Linked DNA regions of Drosophila melanogaster. The protein of the gene in region 3 purifies or fractionates together with the protein of the main gene of each other region. This does not show direct contact. Each region holds a gene or a part of one and is shown on either strand. Other genes may lie near its edges. The genes, in order: CG7924, Dhrs4 and CG6180.

The links.
Region 1: the proteins of CG6180 (region 3) and CG7924 purify together in Drosophila melanogaster (affinity purification with mass spectrometry, with the first as the bait; one large-scale study listed by BioGRID). This does not show direct contact.
Region 2: the proteins of CG6180 (region 3) and Dhrs4 purify together in Drosophila melanogaster (affinity purification with mass spectrometry, with the first as the bait; one large-scale study listed by BioGRID). This does not show direct contact.

Annotation. Positions count from the first base shown.
Region 1 is NT_037436.4:14,229,969-14,235,122, forward strand, and holds CG7924 (uncharacterized protein), read left to right. Parts: upstream 1-3,500; 5' UTR 3,501-3,518; coding exon 3,519-3,549; intron 3,550-3,611; coding exon 3,612-4,546; 3' UTR 4,547-4,641; downstream 4,642-5,154. Other genes in the region: nuf (nuclear fallout), read left to right, coding at 208-342, 688-1,144, 1,209-1,357, 1,629-1,667, 1,959-2,087.
Region 2 is NT_037436.4:5,139,940-5,145,067, forward strand, and holds Dhrs4 (Dehydrogenase/reductase 4), read right to left. Parts: upstream 1,708-5,128; 5' UTR 1,612-1,707; coding exon 1,367-1,611; intron 1,304-1,366; coding exon 901-1,303; intron 839-900; coding exon 533-838; 3' UTR 501-532; downstream 1-500. Other genes in the region: CHMP2B (charged multivesicular body protein 2b), read left to right, coding at 1-444; Gdap1, read left to right, coding at 2,366-2,488, 3,134-3,326, 3,385-3,558, 3,624-4,117; Fitm (Fat storage inducing transmembrane protein), read right to left, coding at 4,457-5,128.
Region 3 is NT_033779.5:12,705,901-12,711,073, reverse strand, and holds CG6180 (uncharacterized protein), read right to left. Parts: upstream 3,414-5,173; 5' UTR 3,304-3,413; coding exon 2,530-3,303; 3' UTR 2,394-2,529; downstream 1-2,393. Other genes in the region: CG5787 (uncharacterized protein), read left to right, coding at 1-712, 849-1,699, 1,765-1,821; CG15484 (uncharacterized protein), read left to right, coding at 3,545-4,165; spict (spichthyin), read right to left, coding at 4,627-5,173.

The DNA.
Region 1 (5,154 bases), on a different chromosome or scaffold from region 3:
AGATATATCAGCAAATATATAATCATTTGCACACCATATATATATATATATAGGCAAATGTATGTGAAATATCCCATGGCTGAGGTGCAGTTGGTGAACGATCTTCTCCTCGATCTGCGGCACATGAAAAAAGATTGTGTTAGTCGATGCACGAACCTTTGTATTGGAATATAGACTTATCAGTTCTCTTTTTCTATATATTTACAGCTGGAACTGCTGCAGCGCAAGGTGGACGATCTGTCAGATACACAGAATATAGCTGAGGATCGGACAACCCGCACCAAGACCGAATATGCAGTCCTTCAGGCGCGTTATCACATGCTCGAAGAGCAGTACCGAGAGGTTTGTATTTAATAATTCATTCGAGTTTTATTTATTTAAGTATTAAATATATACTTGTTTAATTATAAAAAAATAGTTAATGGTAGATAGGAAGTACGCTATATGAAAGAGGTCAAGAAAAACAAAACAAACTTCTTCGACAAATAATAATTTTGTTTTTGTGTATTCAGTTTGTAGAGTTTGTGAGTGAGTTTTTAGAAAGATAGTAATTAAATTTATCAAATTTAAAGCAACTAAATTACTTTGCTCAGAAAAATATATTTATGTAATGTCATCAGATTGATTAATCCCAATAACAATCAATTTATGAGATTATGAGATTTAATCATAACTCTTTTCTTGCAGTCGGAACTGCGTGCCGAGGAGCGTTTGGCAGAGGAGCAGAAGCGGCACCGCGAGATTTTGGCCCGCGTGGAGCGTGAAGCCTCGCTGCAGAACGAGAACTGCCAGATGAAGATCCGTGCCACCGAGATCGAGGCAACGGCACTGCGGGAAGAAGCCGCCCGACTGCGTGTCCTGTGTGACAAGCAGGCCAATGACCTCCATCGCACCGAGGAACAGTTGGAGCTGGCGCGCGACCAAATCGGCGTCCTGCAACAGGAGCACGAGGAGCAGGCACAGGCACTGCGCCGCCACGAACAGGAGAAGAAGTCCACCGAGGAGCTGATGCTGGAGCTGGGCCGGGAACTGCAGCGTGCTCGCGAGGAGAGTGGAGCCCGGGCAATGCCGACCACATCGCCGGAGAGCATAAGACTGGAGGAGCTGCATCAGGAGCTCGAGGAGATGCGCCAGAAGAACCGAAGTATGTAAACATATTATATTTGAGGGCTTACAACTAAACAATATGCACATTTTTTCTTTACTAGCCCTCGAAGAACAGAACGAGGAGCTGCAGGCCACGATGCTGACCAACCAGGCCACCATGCTGACAAATGGCGTGGAGCAGGGTCGCCATCTGCTGAACGGAACACTCAACAGTTTGGCTCAGGAGCTCGAGGAGATGTCACAAGCCCAGGTCTGTATTTGAGTCCATCTGTTACGTCGCTTGCTTCCGCTTTTAGTGTAGTCCAATCCATCATTCCCACACCCACAAAAACACAGTCTAGATGCCAAGTCCAAAAGCACACGCACAGTCACTGCAAAAGAAAACTGATTAAAATGCTATTTTGGAACCTACAGTTTTAAAGTGTCCTACTAGTGTCCGTACTGCCCTGCGCTTATTTTAAAAACCATTTATCTTATCTTAGCCCACATGTGTATTTAAATTGACATTTATTGTATTACAGGATTCTGTGGATTCAGCCACATTAGCATCCTTAAGTCAGGTAATGCTTCAATCACGCAAAAGCCGCAAACAAAAAGAACAAATAATAAAACACGGTTTTGGAGCCACTGTGCACGCAATGCAGTTTGACCTAAACAAAATTTGACTTAAAACTAATATTGGTTATTGGTTTTTTTTTATTCGATCAAACTTATTACGGACAATTTATCACCTGGCTAACTATATAACATTCATTTGTGTATATATAAACATTTCAAATTCTTTTCTTATCCATGTTTTGTGTGTTGCCTTAATATTTTTCGAAATACTAATAATAATGTATGTTTTGCAGCTACAACAGGCCTTCCAGGAAAAGGAGGATGAAAATGTTCGGCTTAAGCACTATATTGATACCATTCTACTCAACATCGTGGAGAACTATCCTCAATTGCTGGAAGTCAAGCCCATGGAGCGAAAGTAGTGCAGTCTACTGGAAGAATAAACCAACCCTAGGCACTCGGCAGAGTGTCACAACCACCTAACATTACCTAAAATTAATAAACTAACTAAACCATACTCTATGTTAACTTTTTAAGCTACACTCTATACATGTATTTATGCCTAACTTAAGTCATAATTTATTTTATAACAATTTAATGTAGATTTTTAAACCAAAACAACGCAGAGAACACAAAGATTGCATGTCAAAATGATAAAAAAGTCCTTAATTTGATTAGATTATGTTTTGTATAAAGAGAGTCCAAAATTATGTAAAAGTTTATTTTCCTTCGTTTCTAGTTTGCGTTTTGTATAGTTCGTGTTGTTGATCCATAAAGATATTACTTATAAATATTGTTAGATTTTAAGTCGTAAAAAATCTTTCACTTATTAATGAAATGGAACCCAATAATTTATTGATAATTGCCAGAAAATCTAATTGTGAATGTGTATAGCATAAAGAGATTTTATGAACTGTTGATGCTTGACAGGAAATATTTCCAATTTCGTCATGGCAGCTAAGAAGGTTTTTGCTAGGACAAGTGCTCCATTTTTCAAATCTTTCCATCACATGCATACTTCTTAAATCTTTCTATCCATATTTTGCACTCTCCGAAAAGATCTTCCCTAGTTTGCCTGTAATGTAGTTACAAAAATCTATCAAAAAATTTGCGTTTATGGTATGGACAATCCCAGGATACAAAGACGGAGTTTTAGTTTGATGTGAGTCTAAATGAGAGCAATTATCACGAGGAGTTTATCAATTCAGAAGTTATATCTTAATCCACACACATATGTCAATGTATAGCACAGATAAAACTAATCTTACTCTGCATATAAAACAACATTAAATGGACATAATGTGCAAACGTTTAGGGATGACACATGATAGCTCCAACGAAAGCGATCCCTAATAGTCTTAGCAACTGAATAACTCAAGCGGTCAACCCTAATTTAGCTATAATAATATCCAAGAAAACTCGATAATCGATGTGTAATCGTTAATCAAAATTTTATTGCCTTAAACGGATGTTTTAAAAAATGTACTAAGGCTTAGATAACTCTAACAAAAAAGTCCATAAGGTTTAATGACATGCTGCGAAATATGGAATTTTAAATGTAATTTACTAGATGCAAGTCGCTGAACTTATATCAAAATAAAAAGAAGAATATTTTATAAACACAGGCCCGCCTTTTTTTTTTGGACTGGCCCTAAAATAAAAGCGATACTAATTGGCGAAACTCGTTTGAAGACAATGCACATAAATGTTTAATTTATTAAGGAAGCGTGACGCGAAGAACAGGTTTGCTTTCCAGGAAAGATTGCATAAGATCTTTTCGATTTGAACGCGTTATATAAGCCGGGTTCTGCAGCAGTGAAGGACAGAGAAGACATTGGAGTTAAAGTTACAGGATGTTTAAGCCACAATATCACTTGGCCGCAGGTGGGCAATTGAATATCATTTTCGATTGAAACAGAATTGAGTTTGACTTTTGTACTTTCCAGTGCTGCTGTGTTTCGTCTTCACCACAGCGCAGGTTGTGCCAAATGCAGAAATCGGTCGGATTACTATCCAAGTGCCGTTGCTGTCCAATGGAAAGCCCGTGATCCTGACCAACCAGGAACGGGAAGAGATCGCCACCGTGCAGGAGATCAAGCCGGGAAAGGTCCATGTTGTCCAGGAGGTAGTGGTGCCACCTACTGTGAAGTCTGATAATAAGGTGCGGGTGACAAGATCAGTTTCGGATTCTGGTATCCCTAACCATGGAATCCCAAATCCTGGCATCCCTAACCATGGAATACCGAATCGTGGAATTCCTAATGATGGAATCCCAAATCCTGGCATTCCTAATCATGGAATTCCAAATCCTGGAATCCCTAATCATGGAATTCCAAACCGTGGCATTCCTAATGATGGAATCCCGAATCCTGGCATTCCCAATCACGGTATTCCCAACCCTGGAATCCCTAATCATGGAATTCCAAACCGCGGCATTCCTAATGATGGAATCCCTAACCCTGGCATCCCCAACCATGGAATCCCCAATCCTGGCATACCCAATCCCGATGCTTCCGAACTTAAACCAGTTGTTGTAATGCCCAGCAGTCGTACCACCAGCGCACCCGCATCTACATCAATGCCCAAGCGAGTACCCACCAGAAATTGTTTCCATCTTCTGATGGGTGGCACGACCACTACGTCGCCAGTGGATATGATGACACCACCATCTATGGAAAACTGCGATGAGCTATGCACCAAGTTCGAGTACTCGCCCATTTGTGCCCACAATGGAATCTGCATCCATGAGTTTGCAAATCAGTGCGTAATGAACACCTTCAACTGCAAACACCGCGATTTGTCGTTCCGTGCAGTGGATGAGGATGTGTGCCGACTGGGAGTTTGCATGAGGCGATGCAAGGAGGAGGAACTGGCGCTATAAAATGGCGATTACTCTTAGTCATAGTGTTATATCAATACAATATAATTTGTGTAAAAACATAAAAAAAAACATTTAATTAAATGCATACATAACATAGAAAAGAGTAATTTTTTCTTCTAAAATTTGTAAGTCAAGTAAACTTTGCTTGATCTAGAAACTGATTTTAAACTTTGGTAGAAGTATTCTTGCAATTTTTAATAAAGCCTAACAAATTAAAAATTAATAATGTTTCAACAAGAAAGGAATCTTGAAGTAATTAATAAGCGCTGATTTTTTTAACACCTGTATAAGAACGTAATTTTTCTAATATCATTTAATTACTTTTTTATAAAACGTGTTTACGAAAGGTTCAAGTGTATATGATTAATGAAAATTTTAAGTTGTTTTTTAATTTTAATTAATTTTAATTATTTCCTTTTTGTAATTTGGGGCGTATGAGTTAAACAAACTCTCAAACTGCCAGATGCCTATATTTGGGAAAACTGACTGACGGTCCTTTAGTGTACTATGTACTATCTATGTAATTCAAATCGTCCTTGGTTCTGCTCTATGTTCTGTTGATATAAAGTGGCGTCTTAAACTGACTATTTGCCTTCGAAATGAATGGG
Region 2 (5,128 bases), on a different chromosome or scaffold from region 3:
CAGCTGGTGGAGATCAGGAAGCAGAAATCACGCACATACGCAGCAGCGGGCAAGATTCAGTCCATTGGCTACCAGAACAAGAACATGGGCGCCAATATCGCCCTAAGCGAAGCCATGGGCACCACGGCCAAGACGATGGGTGAAATGAATAAGGTGATGCGACCGGAGGCCATCGGGGAAACAGTGCGCCAGTTCCAGGCGGCCAACATGAAGATGGAAATGACCGACGAGATGATCAACGACACGCTGGACGACATGCTGAATGAGTCCGGCGACGAGGAGGAGTCCAATGCCGTAGTCAACAAGGTGCTCGACGAGATCGGCATCGAGATCTCCGGCAAGATGTCCAGCATCCCGGCCACGGGATCCTCAGACTTTGAGACGAGTGGCAAGCGCACCGAGAAGGACATTGCCGATCAACTGGCCAAGCTGCGCTCCTCTTAGTCCTTACCTGTTTTTCATTCTATTTTGTAACTACTGTGAACATCGCTGTTATCCATAGCCCGTAAGAAATTATATTTATGTACACCGCTTACAAACGAGCTGTCATTCCACCGCCAGCCACAATGGACTCTCCGGTAATGTAGCCCGCATCCTCGGAGACCAAAAAGGAGACCACGCCAGCCATCTCCTCACTGGTGCCCAGACGACCCATGGGTATTTTGCTCAAAGCCGCTTCATTCGCCGACTCATTCTCGTACAGTGCTTTCGAGAACTTTGTCCTGATGACTCCTGGAGCCAGGCAGTTGACGCGAATGCCCTCGGGCGCCAGATCCTTGGCGGCTGCCTTGGTCAAGCCAATCAGCGCGGTCTTGCTGACGGAATAGGCTCCCAGTAGCTATGCGATTAAGATAACGGAGATAAGCATTGAACAACTGAACCGCAGATAAGGCGACTAACCTCAAAGGCATCATAGCCAGCAATGGAGGAGACGAAAACGATGCTGGAGTTCTTTTGCTGGCGCAGGAGAGGCAGTGCCTCCTTGGCCAGCAGATAGGAACTCTTCACGTTCACATCGAAGATCTTGTCCCACACCTTCTCATCGCACTCGAGGACACCGCCGACCGCAGGATTGGTGGCTGCATTGCTGACCAGAATGTTGAGCTTGCCAAACTTGCTAATGGTCTCCTCAAAGAGCTGTTTGCGATCCTCGGGTTCGCTGACATGGCACTTCAGACCGTGGACATTCAAGTTCAGTTTGCGCAGCTCCGCCAGAGCAGAGTCCACATTCTTTTGCTTGCGACTGCTGATGACCACTGCGGCGCCATCTTCGGCCAGCCTTTTGGCAATCGCGAAACCAATGCTGGGAGGGATTAATCAGAATTTAGTGGGTGCGATCCTCTCCAGTTTCTATTGAGCTGCTTACCCATCGGTGGAGGCGGTGACCACGGCTACTTTTCCTGCCAAACGCTTCATCGTGCCGGCTGTCGAACTTTGACTACTGCTGGACAAGCGTTTGTGGCATTGATTGAGATTAGGGCCAACAAGTTTTCGGCTGTAATTGTTGCTGTTTTGATCGAAACTTGAACTTTGACCACTTCCACTCACAGCGCTGGCATTCAGACGGATCTTGGGCGCCCTGACCACCAGTTGTTTGCTCAGATGCAACATTTTTGAAGTAGGACTTTTGCGAAGGATCTTGAGATTCGTTGCCTAATAATTGATTTTCCCTATTTTAACTACGAATCTCCAAACTGTTTACTAGTTCTTCTTTTCAGCGGTTTGCCATTCACAGTGAATGAAAAAGCTCATTCGCCGGTGGCGCGAAATTTGAAAATTTATTAAAGTTATCTCTGCAGTGGCTTAGTAATAAAAACCAGATTAACCTACATAATAACTAAAATTAGGGCTAAAAATATCATTTATCCCTAGTCAATATGTTGTAATACTCCACTTAGGGCCACTCAGTCATGGGCAGATAAGAATTCTTGAAAAGAAAATCTTCCCACAGCAAGATAAACGCTGCGTTTCGTAATAATATAAACAAAGATAAATACGCATGACAAACAAACCGCAAAAAGTTGGAGAATCGCTTGACATAATGGACTGTTTTCGGATCCGAAACATATATATGTACTATATATATGTACATACGAGCCGAAAGTGCAAATTAATAGGGGATCGCAGCGATCCGTACGATCTGACTTCATTATAGACGCAGTCGTCGGCGGAATCAGCACGCAAGTGGAGTCTCCGGTTTTCCAAGTCAATCCGGCACGCGCTTACGGCTTTGTTAGTTAGCAACTTTTCGCAACCGTCGGCGGGGCATGTGATACGAAAAAAGGCGCCCATGCTAGTGAAACTAATCAGCAAACTAAAGATACACTAAGCCAAAGAATATTAAGTGAAACACACATAGAACAAGATGAGCGAGCAGACAAAGGAAATCGAAGCTCTGCCGCCCACCTTGCAGGACTTCAAGGCTCCCGATCTGCCGGCCAATAAGCCAGTGCTCTTCTTCCATCCGTACAACTTCCATGCGCAAAAAGTTAGTAACCGCTTGCTTTCAATCATGTGATCATTGAAAAGGTATTTGCCCAACAGATCCAGCCGCTAATGCCGCGAAATTACAAAACTAATCATTTCCAAATGAAATCATCGTTTTATTTACTTTTTTTCTCGTATTTCTTTTGTTTTTTTCGATGTAATAATGGGGTGGCCCGCGTCGAAGGTTCTCCACCCAAGATCTTTATTAAATCTCTCGGCCACTCGGATGCAATGGAGCATGACCTAGCGGGTGGCGGGCCGGAAATGTAGTAGGGCTAGCGCTATTGGAGTTCTCTAGTTTTCCATTCTGTACAGATATGACAGCATATTTACCTGCTGGCTGCTCCAGGTGCTAATGAAGTGGATTGAAGCGGAGTGAAAAAACAAAATAAACAAACTTATGTGTGGAGGAATCTGCTCCAAAAGAACGTAATATAATAACTAAACCGAAATGATTTAATTTAATGCCAGATCGTGTCTAAAAATATCTGTTTTGGTTAATGAAGCGAGTAATTAGTAGCGGAATATTGCATCTTTGGGTTCGTCTTTAGATACATTTAAGCAAATGCACATATATACTTAATATCTGAGTTATAAATCTGCTAATATCATAGCTCAGTTAAAGTGAACCCACTTATCATCGCAGGTTCTTATGGTCTTCTACGAGAAGAAGATCGACTTCTTTCCCTATGTGGTGGACCTGTGCAATGGCGAGCAGTACTCCAATTGGTTCCTAAACCTCAATCCCAAGGGCGATGTGCCAGTGCTCCAGGATGGCGCCCTCGTCATTCCCAGCTCGACGCACATCATCAACTATGTGGAGAGCAAATTTCGCGGTGGTAATTCCCAGTTAGCTACCCGCCCATAGTAACTTGACTTATCAACTTCATCATTTAGATCGATCGCTGAAGCCAGCGCACAACTCCAAGGAATTCGATCAAATGCTGATCTTCGAGCAGGCAATGGCCCGCCTTCCAGTGGGAACACTCAGCCTGGGCTCCTTCATACACGACGATCTGAAGCTGGTGCCCAAGGCGCCCTTCATCGGACCCGTGCGCCAGTCCTGCCTGAGTAAGTTACTCGCACCTGTGAACTCAACAACATAACTCAACAGTCAACACTCGTACGCCCCGCAGAAAACAATGAAAAGGTGCTGGATCTGCTGCGCCACTCGGTGGACGAACAGGCGACCAAAAAAGCAGCGCTGCAGCACAAGCTGGACATACAGTTGCGCCGCCACGAGCTGGCCTCGTCCCGCGAGGAATTCCAGAAGGTTCTGGATGCCGTGCGGCACTTTCTGCTCTATGTGGAGCAGGAGCTAACCGCCCAGGCGCCACGCGTTGAGTGGCTGACCGGCGACGAACTGAGCGTGGCGGATATCTCGCTGGGATTGCTGCTGCATCGACTGTATCAGCTGGGATTCGAGAATCAGTTCTGGACCTTCGGAAAGCTGCCGCAGGTGGAGGCATACTTCTTGCGCTTCCGGCAGCGCGAGTCCTTCCACCGCCTGCAGCCGAGCAACTTTGCCATACTGCGCGAAATGTGGACCCGAACGCCGGGCAACTATAAGCTAGGAGCGGGCGCCGGCTTCCTGGGTATGGCCATGTTCGCCGCCTTCGCGCACAAGTGAGCGGAGCAGCGGGACAGCAGACTTTGTTAACAAATCCTTTTACTGTTAAAGTTGGGCACATATAAACACACGAACATAAGAACGCTTAAAGCTACGCACTGCTGATGAAGGATGCTTGGGGTGTCATGGTAAGAATCCGGCGGTGGAGGAGGATGAGGAGAAGAGCGCGCGATCCAGTGCCAGCCTCGGCTGCTTGCTTAGTAATATCATCATCGTTTCATATCATCGTTGCTGAATATACAAAAATTTGGTATAAATTCCAATCCGTCACCTAACTATCAATTCCTTCTATGCTTGATGGCTGCTCTCCCCTCTGTTGACTTGACCAGGGTTCAGCTCTCAGCTCTCCAGCGTCTGCTGCTCGCGATCCCTTTCCCGTTTCTGCTGATCGGACATCAGCAAATTGGCGGCTGCACTGGCCGCCTTGGGGCTGGTGAACAGCGGCATTCCCATAAACGTGGGTATCTGCTGATCCCTTGGCACTCCCGTCGTTGCCGCCTTGCCATTGAGGTTGGTCCTCGAACTGTTGGATCCCGAGCTCGTGGTGGCCGCACCCGTGGATAAATGCGAGGGTCGCTTGAAGGGGAAGGTGGGTATCTCTCGCTGATAGCTGAAGCTTCCGTTGCCAGGCGCCTCAGGCAGCAGACCGGGCGTGGGATACCAGAAGCGATAGGTGAAGTACCAGGTGAGTATGGCAATAATGCCGCTGATCACCTTCTCGATCATGCGGTGATAGTACAGCATGGTGCCCACCAACATGATGTCCCACAGCAGCTGCAGGGCCGCCATGCCGATGAATAGGGTGCGAATGATCGGCGTCAGGCGTTTGTACAAGAACTGCAGGCTGCGCATTTGCTCCTCGTTCAGCGTTCTCAGCGGATTCGTGCCCGAGTTCTCGGCTGTGCTGCGATTGTGTCGCTCGTTGCGGATGTGCTCCTTGATGGTCTCCCAGCGGATGATGGGACGCGCCTCCTCGATCAGCACCAGGCTGGAGTGGATCAGGATGAAGGC
Region 3 (5,173 bases):
TATCAATCGAACAGTGGTGGTGGTGGCGGAGGTGGAGGAAGAAGCGGCGGTGGTGGAGGAGGCGGTGCCGGCGGCGGAGGAGGAGTAGGTTCCGGTGGCTCTGGATGGGAAGCTGGTCAGCGCGCCTTCAACTCGAAGCGCAATCAGCTGCAGAAGATGAATCTGAACAACAGCGGATCTGTTCGAAAGCCAGCTCCACAGCCAGCCGCTAAGGCGGTCCAGAACTTGCGCAACAATCCTCAGAAGGCTGAAATCGTCAAAAGCGCAGGTGCGCCCACTCTGCGCAACAACAAGACCGCCAACCTGCGTCCGGGCAATGCGACTGGAGTACAGAAAAAGCTGCCCGTTGCAGCACCAAATCAGTATAAAGTCAATAACGTAACACCCAATTCGAAAACGGTCTCGGTTACCAACAAGAAGCCACCGGTGGCCGCACCAGCCGTGAAGACCGGACCGCAGGCAAACAGGACAGGACCACAGGGATTAAGAACTGGACCACAGGGATTAAGAGCTGGACCACAGGGATTGAGATCTGGACCACAGGGCTTGAGAACTGGACAACAGGGCTTGAAAACTGGACCACAGCTGCAGAAGTCGGGACCACTGGCACCTAGAACTGGCCAGCAGGCAGTGAAAGGTGGACCACAAGGAGGCAAACCAGCAGGAGTGCCCAGTAGGCCGCCAAACGCTCCTGGATTCCCCGTCCAAATTAGTAAGATTCAGTTCTATTTCGTAAGGTTGCATTACAAAACTTTCTTCTAACTATTCCAATTCATTTAGTAGAGTTTTGCAAAGCAACTAGGAATAGTTTTACCATACACAAGTTCCTAATATGTTATGCATTGCAGGTCAGAAGCGTGTTGCCCCACCTCCACCGCTGGAAACGGAGGCTGCCTCCAAGTCGGTCAAGAAATGGCGACGCGTGGCACGCAAGCGCGGTTTCCTTATTGGCGGATTCAAGATTCCCTATCTCAACGATCAGCCGAAGAAGCTCCCACAGCCGGAGGCGGACTCATATGCCTTGACCTTCTTCGAACAAACCTTCAATTACAGTACAAACCAGGACGCCACCGAGGAGGACTTCGTAGAGGCGGCCGTAGTGCTCAACGAAGATTCGGAAGACGAATCGGTGGCCGACGACGCCAAGTCGGCTCGCAAGATTGCAAAGCGCAACAGGAAACGCATACGGTCCGATTGGGCACCGCTTAACGAATCGAAGAAATATAATGATTGGGGCAACTGGTGGAAGGACTACAAGAATGTTGGCGAGGAGATCGACCAGCAACTGTTGGAGTGTGGGAACTTGAATCTAGAGCATTGCTTCCTACCCAATCTGCCCAAGCTAACCACAGAGCAGGTGGTTTACGCTATCATAAAGTCGGCACACTTTGGTCTCGAGAAGAATGCCGACGTGCCGTACGACACAATGAAGACGATCTTTACGTTGATGAACCGCACCTTCCTGGATAACCTTACGGAGTTGAACATGGTGGAAATACAGGACATTATTCGCGGCATACCCAATGACCTGTGGGTTTACAAGTTGCGCAGCATGGTCTTCCTGTGGGCCAAGTACAAGGCCATTACCAATTCCAAGTCCACCGCCGAGGACGACGTCAAGGATCAGCAGGCGATTGCGCGCGAATGGAAGAGTCCATGCTTCCACTGGCTGGCCAAACAGGCTTTCGACGAGCTAGTGGTAAGTTGGTAACATAGTCATGCAGCCTATTTCATACTAACTAACTCCGACCTTGCTTTTTATAGGCAATCAGCGAAACCGAATGGAAAGACCATCGCACTGTCTTTCCCTCTATAGAGTAAAGTAATTTGGAAACTAGACACCTCCCCTCCTTCTCAACAGCCGAATATGCACTGGACCCATCAAAGGAGGAAATAGAGCGTGGGTTCTTCTTCAGCATTATTTTATGGATTGTATGAGTCTGCATCTAGTTGTATTAGAGACCTTTATTATTGCACACATGAAGAACCATCCTCTTGACTTTAAGAAGTAGATTGTAATTATGTCGCAATGCTTTTACAAATAAATAACTTACCCAGATGGGCGTCTCTTGCGCCCTGGGAAATAACTATAATACTGATCAGAAACGTTCTTCCTATTTGGAAGGTCCGATAGCAATTATGTCTTGTATCTTCAAAGCATGTATTTTGGCGAGATATAAACTCAAGTTCATGAAATCTGTATGTATACAAATGACGCTAGAAGAATCCTATTGATAAAGAAGTAGATTGTAATTGGAATGAATAATAAATACATAACCAGCACAGAAACTGTTTTGCCTCAGCAAAGGGTAACCGAATTATTACTTCAGACAAATTAACAAGATAAGATATGAAAATATTGAAAATGTGTAATAAGATACAGTGGCTTAGTTAATATGTCTTTAACAATTTTATTGCCAGCAACAGAGGGTTTCACAGAGTGTTCATAGGTGTCTTTAATTTCTAGGTTACAATAGATTTGAATCCAATTCAGACTGGCTTATATAAGCATGGTTTTTGGCGTAGAAACTAAGCGCCCAGCTGCTTGTAGAGGATGGGCACATAGTCGTCGTACTCAGCCTGGTAGAGGTTACCGGCAATGGGATTGCCGAGGGCGTACTTCTTGGCGAACTCGGCGATTTTGAAGCCACCGCGTCCATCTCCGCTGTTATTGGGCAGTCGCTTCTCGTCGAATGTGAGCTTGCACCGCTGCTCGTAGATCAGGAAAACGTAACGATGGAGTCCGGTGTCTGGTGGAGGCCCGGATCCCACGTAGGCGGAGAGAACCTCGCCCTTGGCGACATCTCCACCGGGTATGTTGCCCACCAGCCAATGGTGCCACTCCCTAAACTTGGGATCCTTGCGACTGGGCGCATCCGGATCGGTCATGCAGAGGGTGTACAGCTTATTGGCGTCCGCCTCCCATTTCACGCACGGCTCATCCTTCACCTGGGTGGGGGTCAGGACCTGACCCGGCTTCACGACAATATCGCCGGGATATTCCACCACAGCTGTCTGCGCCGGTGCCTTGGCGATCACATCCGGAACTACGCAGTGCTCCTCCATTGTTTTGCCTACTTTTTCGCAAGAATACTGCCGCTGAGATGCGATAAATGCAAAGATTGGTTTCGGTTCCTTGGTTAGGATAGAATTGCTAAAAGTTTTCAGCGTTCTAATGGCGGCCGGAAAGTTGACAGCTGAATAATTGACATTCACACCGGTTGATCGGATGTAATCTTTTCTAAATCCATTTAAAGCGCTGCGATTGAGATTACGCAACACCCGGAGCCGCATACAAATCATCCTTATTGCTTAAGTAAACCAAATTGGATTAATTAAAAAACTGTTTATTGTTCTATTTGCCGACTGACAATCGATAAGTTGCGATTCACCTGTAAGCGTTTAAACGTTTTTATCGCTATCGATAGGAATGTGTGATTTTGAATTTCTAATCTTCGAAAATATTTGCGCAGTCTACTTGAGAAAAGCATTTCCGGGAAATGAAAATAAGGCTGTGAGAATACTATAAGCAACTGAAATCATCATGGCTTGGGTTCCCACATCACGATTCGAGCACGATCTGGTGCAGTTGGAGCCGCACTTTAATCTGGTCCATGGACAGATCGCCTATGAACTGAGGAAGAAAGAGGAATTCTCAGAATCCGTTCCCATTCATACCTATGAGCTTTTGACAGCCCGCGAGGATCTGCTTGGATATGGCACGCGGGGTGGAAAGGGCCGAGAGATTCGTCAAAGTCTGCAAATGATGGAGACGATTCAGAGAGTAGCTGGCACCAAGCCGCTGGGAGAGCACGCCACAATGGAGGACTGGGAGGACACCACAATGGTGGACGTGGAGGCGATTGCCATCATCCGGAACTTCGGAAGAATGACCCTGAAACAGGACTCACTGACACTCCAGCCGCAGATCAGCTTACCTGCGGTTGCTCCAAATGAAAGCCAGCGATTTCCTTTAATCACAGATCGCGACTTCTTCACGCCACGAAAGATTCGTAGACCAAAGGATCTTCCGCCAGTGGAGAACAGTCCGGATAACTCAGCCGATGACTCATTTCACACCGCTAAAAGTCTGAGCAACTGCATCTGGCTGAACGGATTAAAATATCCAGATAAGACCAGCAAGGGCGAAATTCAGAATACATAGATACTTCATTAAATTACTAACTAACAAACCTTGAAAATAACTTGAAGATTTATTTTACTAAATCCGATTGAGCATGTACTCACATTATTTGCAATGAATATTGTCGTTCGATTTGGAACGACCTACATTTACCAATGTAGTAGAATATTTTAATGGTTTTTTTTTAGTAATACATAGATACGAATATCATATCAAAAATCAAAAAATAAAACTACAATTACAAATCGTTTTCATTAAGTCGTGTTTAATATATGTAAGTGTAACCTAAACCTATGTGCTTATGCTAGCGAATGTATGAATAACAAGAGTGAAGGAACAATAAATGGAAATGATGAGATGAAAGTGATTGCAGGTGATATGCACAGATATTTGGACCAATGCCTCGTTTACGGAGTAAAGCAACCTTGTCTTCAGGTCAGCCGCTGCAAGGGATGTAACTAGACCTGGTAGCGCTGCTTGTGTCAGGCCTTCCGGAAGATGTCGCTGGATCCGTAGGACAGCCGCCGTTCCTTGGTATTGCTGGTGACCAGCACCTCCTCGTCGAACTGCGACACCCGCTGCATTTTCGGTCGCATCAGTCCACGTACATCGTTCAGCGATATATCAATATCTCTGAACGCGTTGAGCAGGAACACAGCTGTGATAACGATCAGGAAGCCGCACACATCGCCGAGAATATCATCGAACCGCATGTGGGTGAACTCCTTGAAGAGGATGGCAGACGCAGCTATCACCAGGGTGGTGAACATTACATAGTACACTGGAGTAACTATACTAGTATTGAATATATCCAGCGCCTTGTTCAGATAGTTCATCTGGATGGCTATGAAAGTGACGGTGACCAGGATCAGGAACCATGGCATCCATGTGAGGAAGACGTTGCCTCCGTTATTCAGCGTCTGCCGTATGGCTAGGCCCAATGCCTTGCAGGACATCACAGTCAGAGATCCGATGCCGGAGCACAAGAAGATATAAACTACCACATTGGTGTGCCCATGCCGTGGTGCA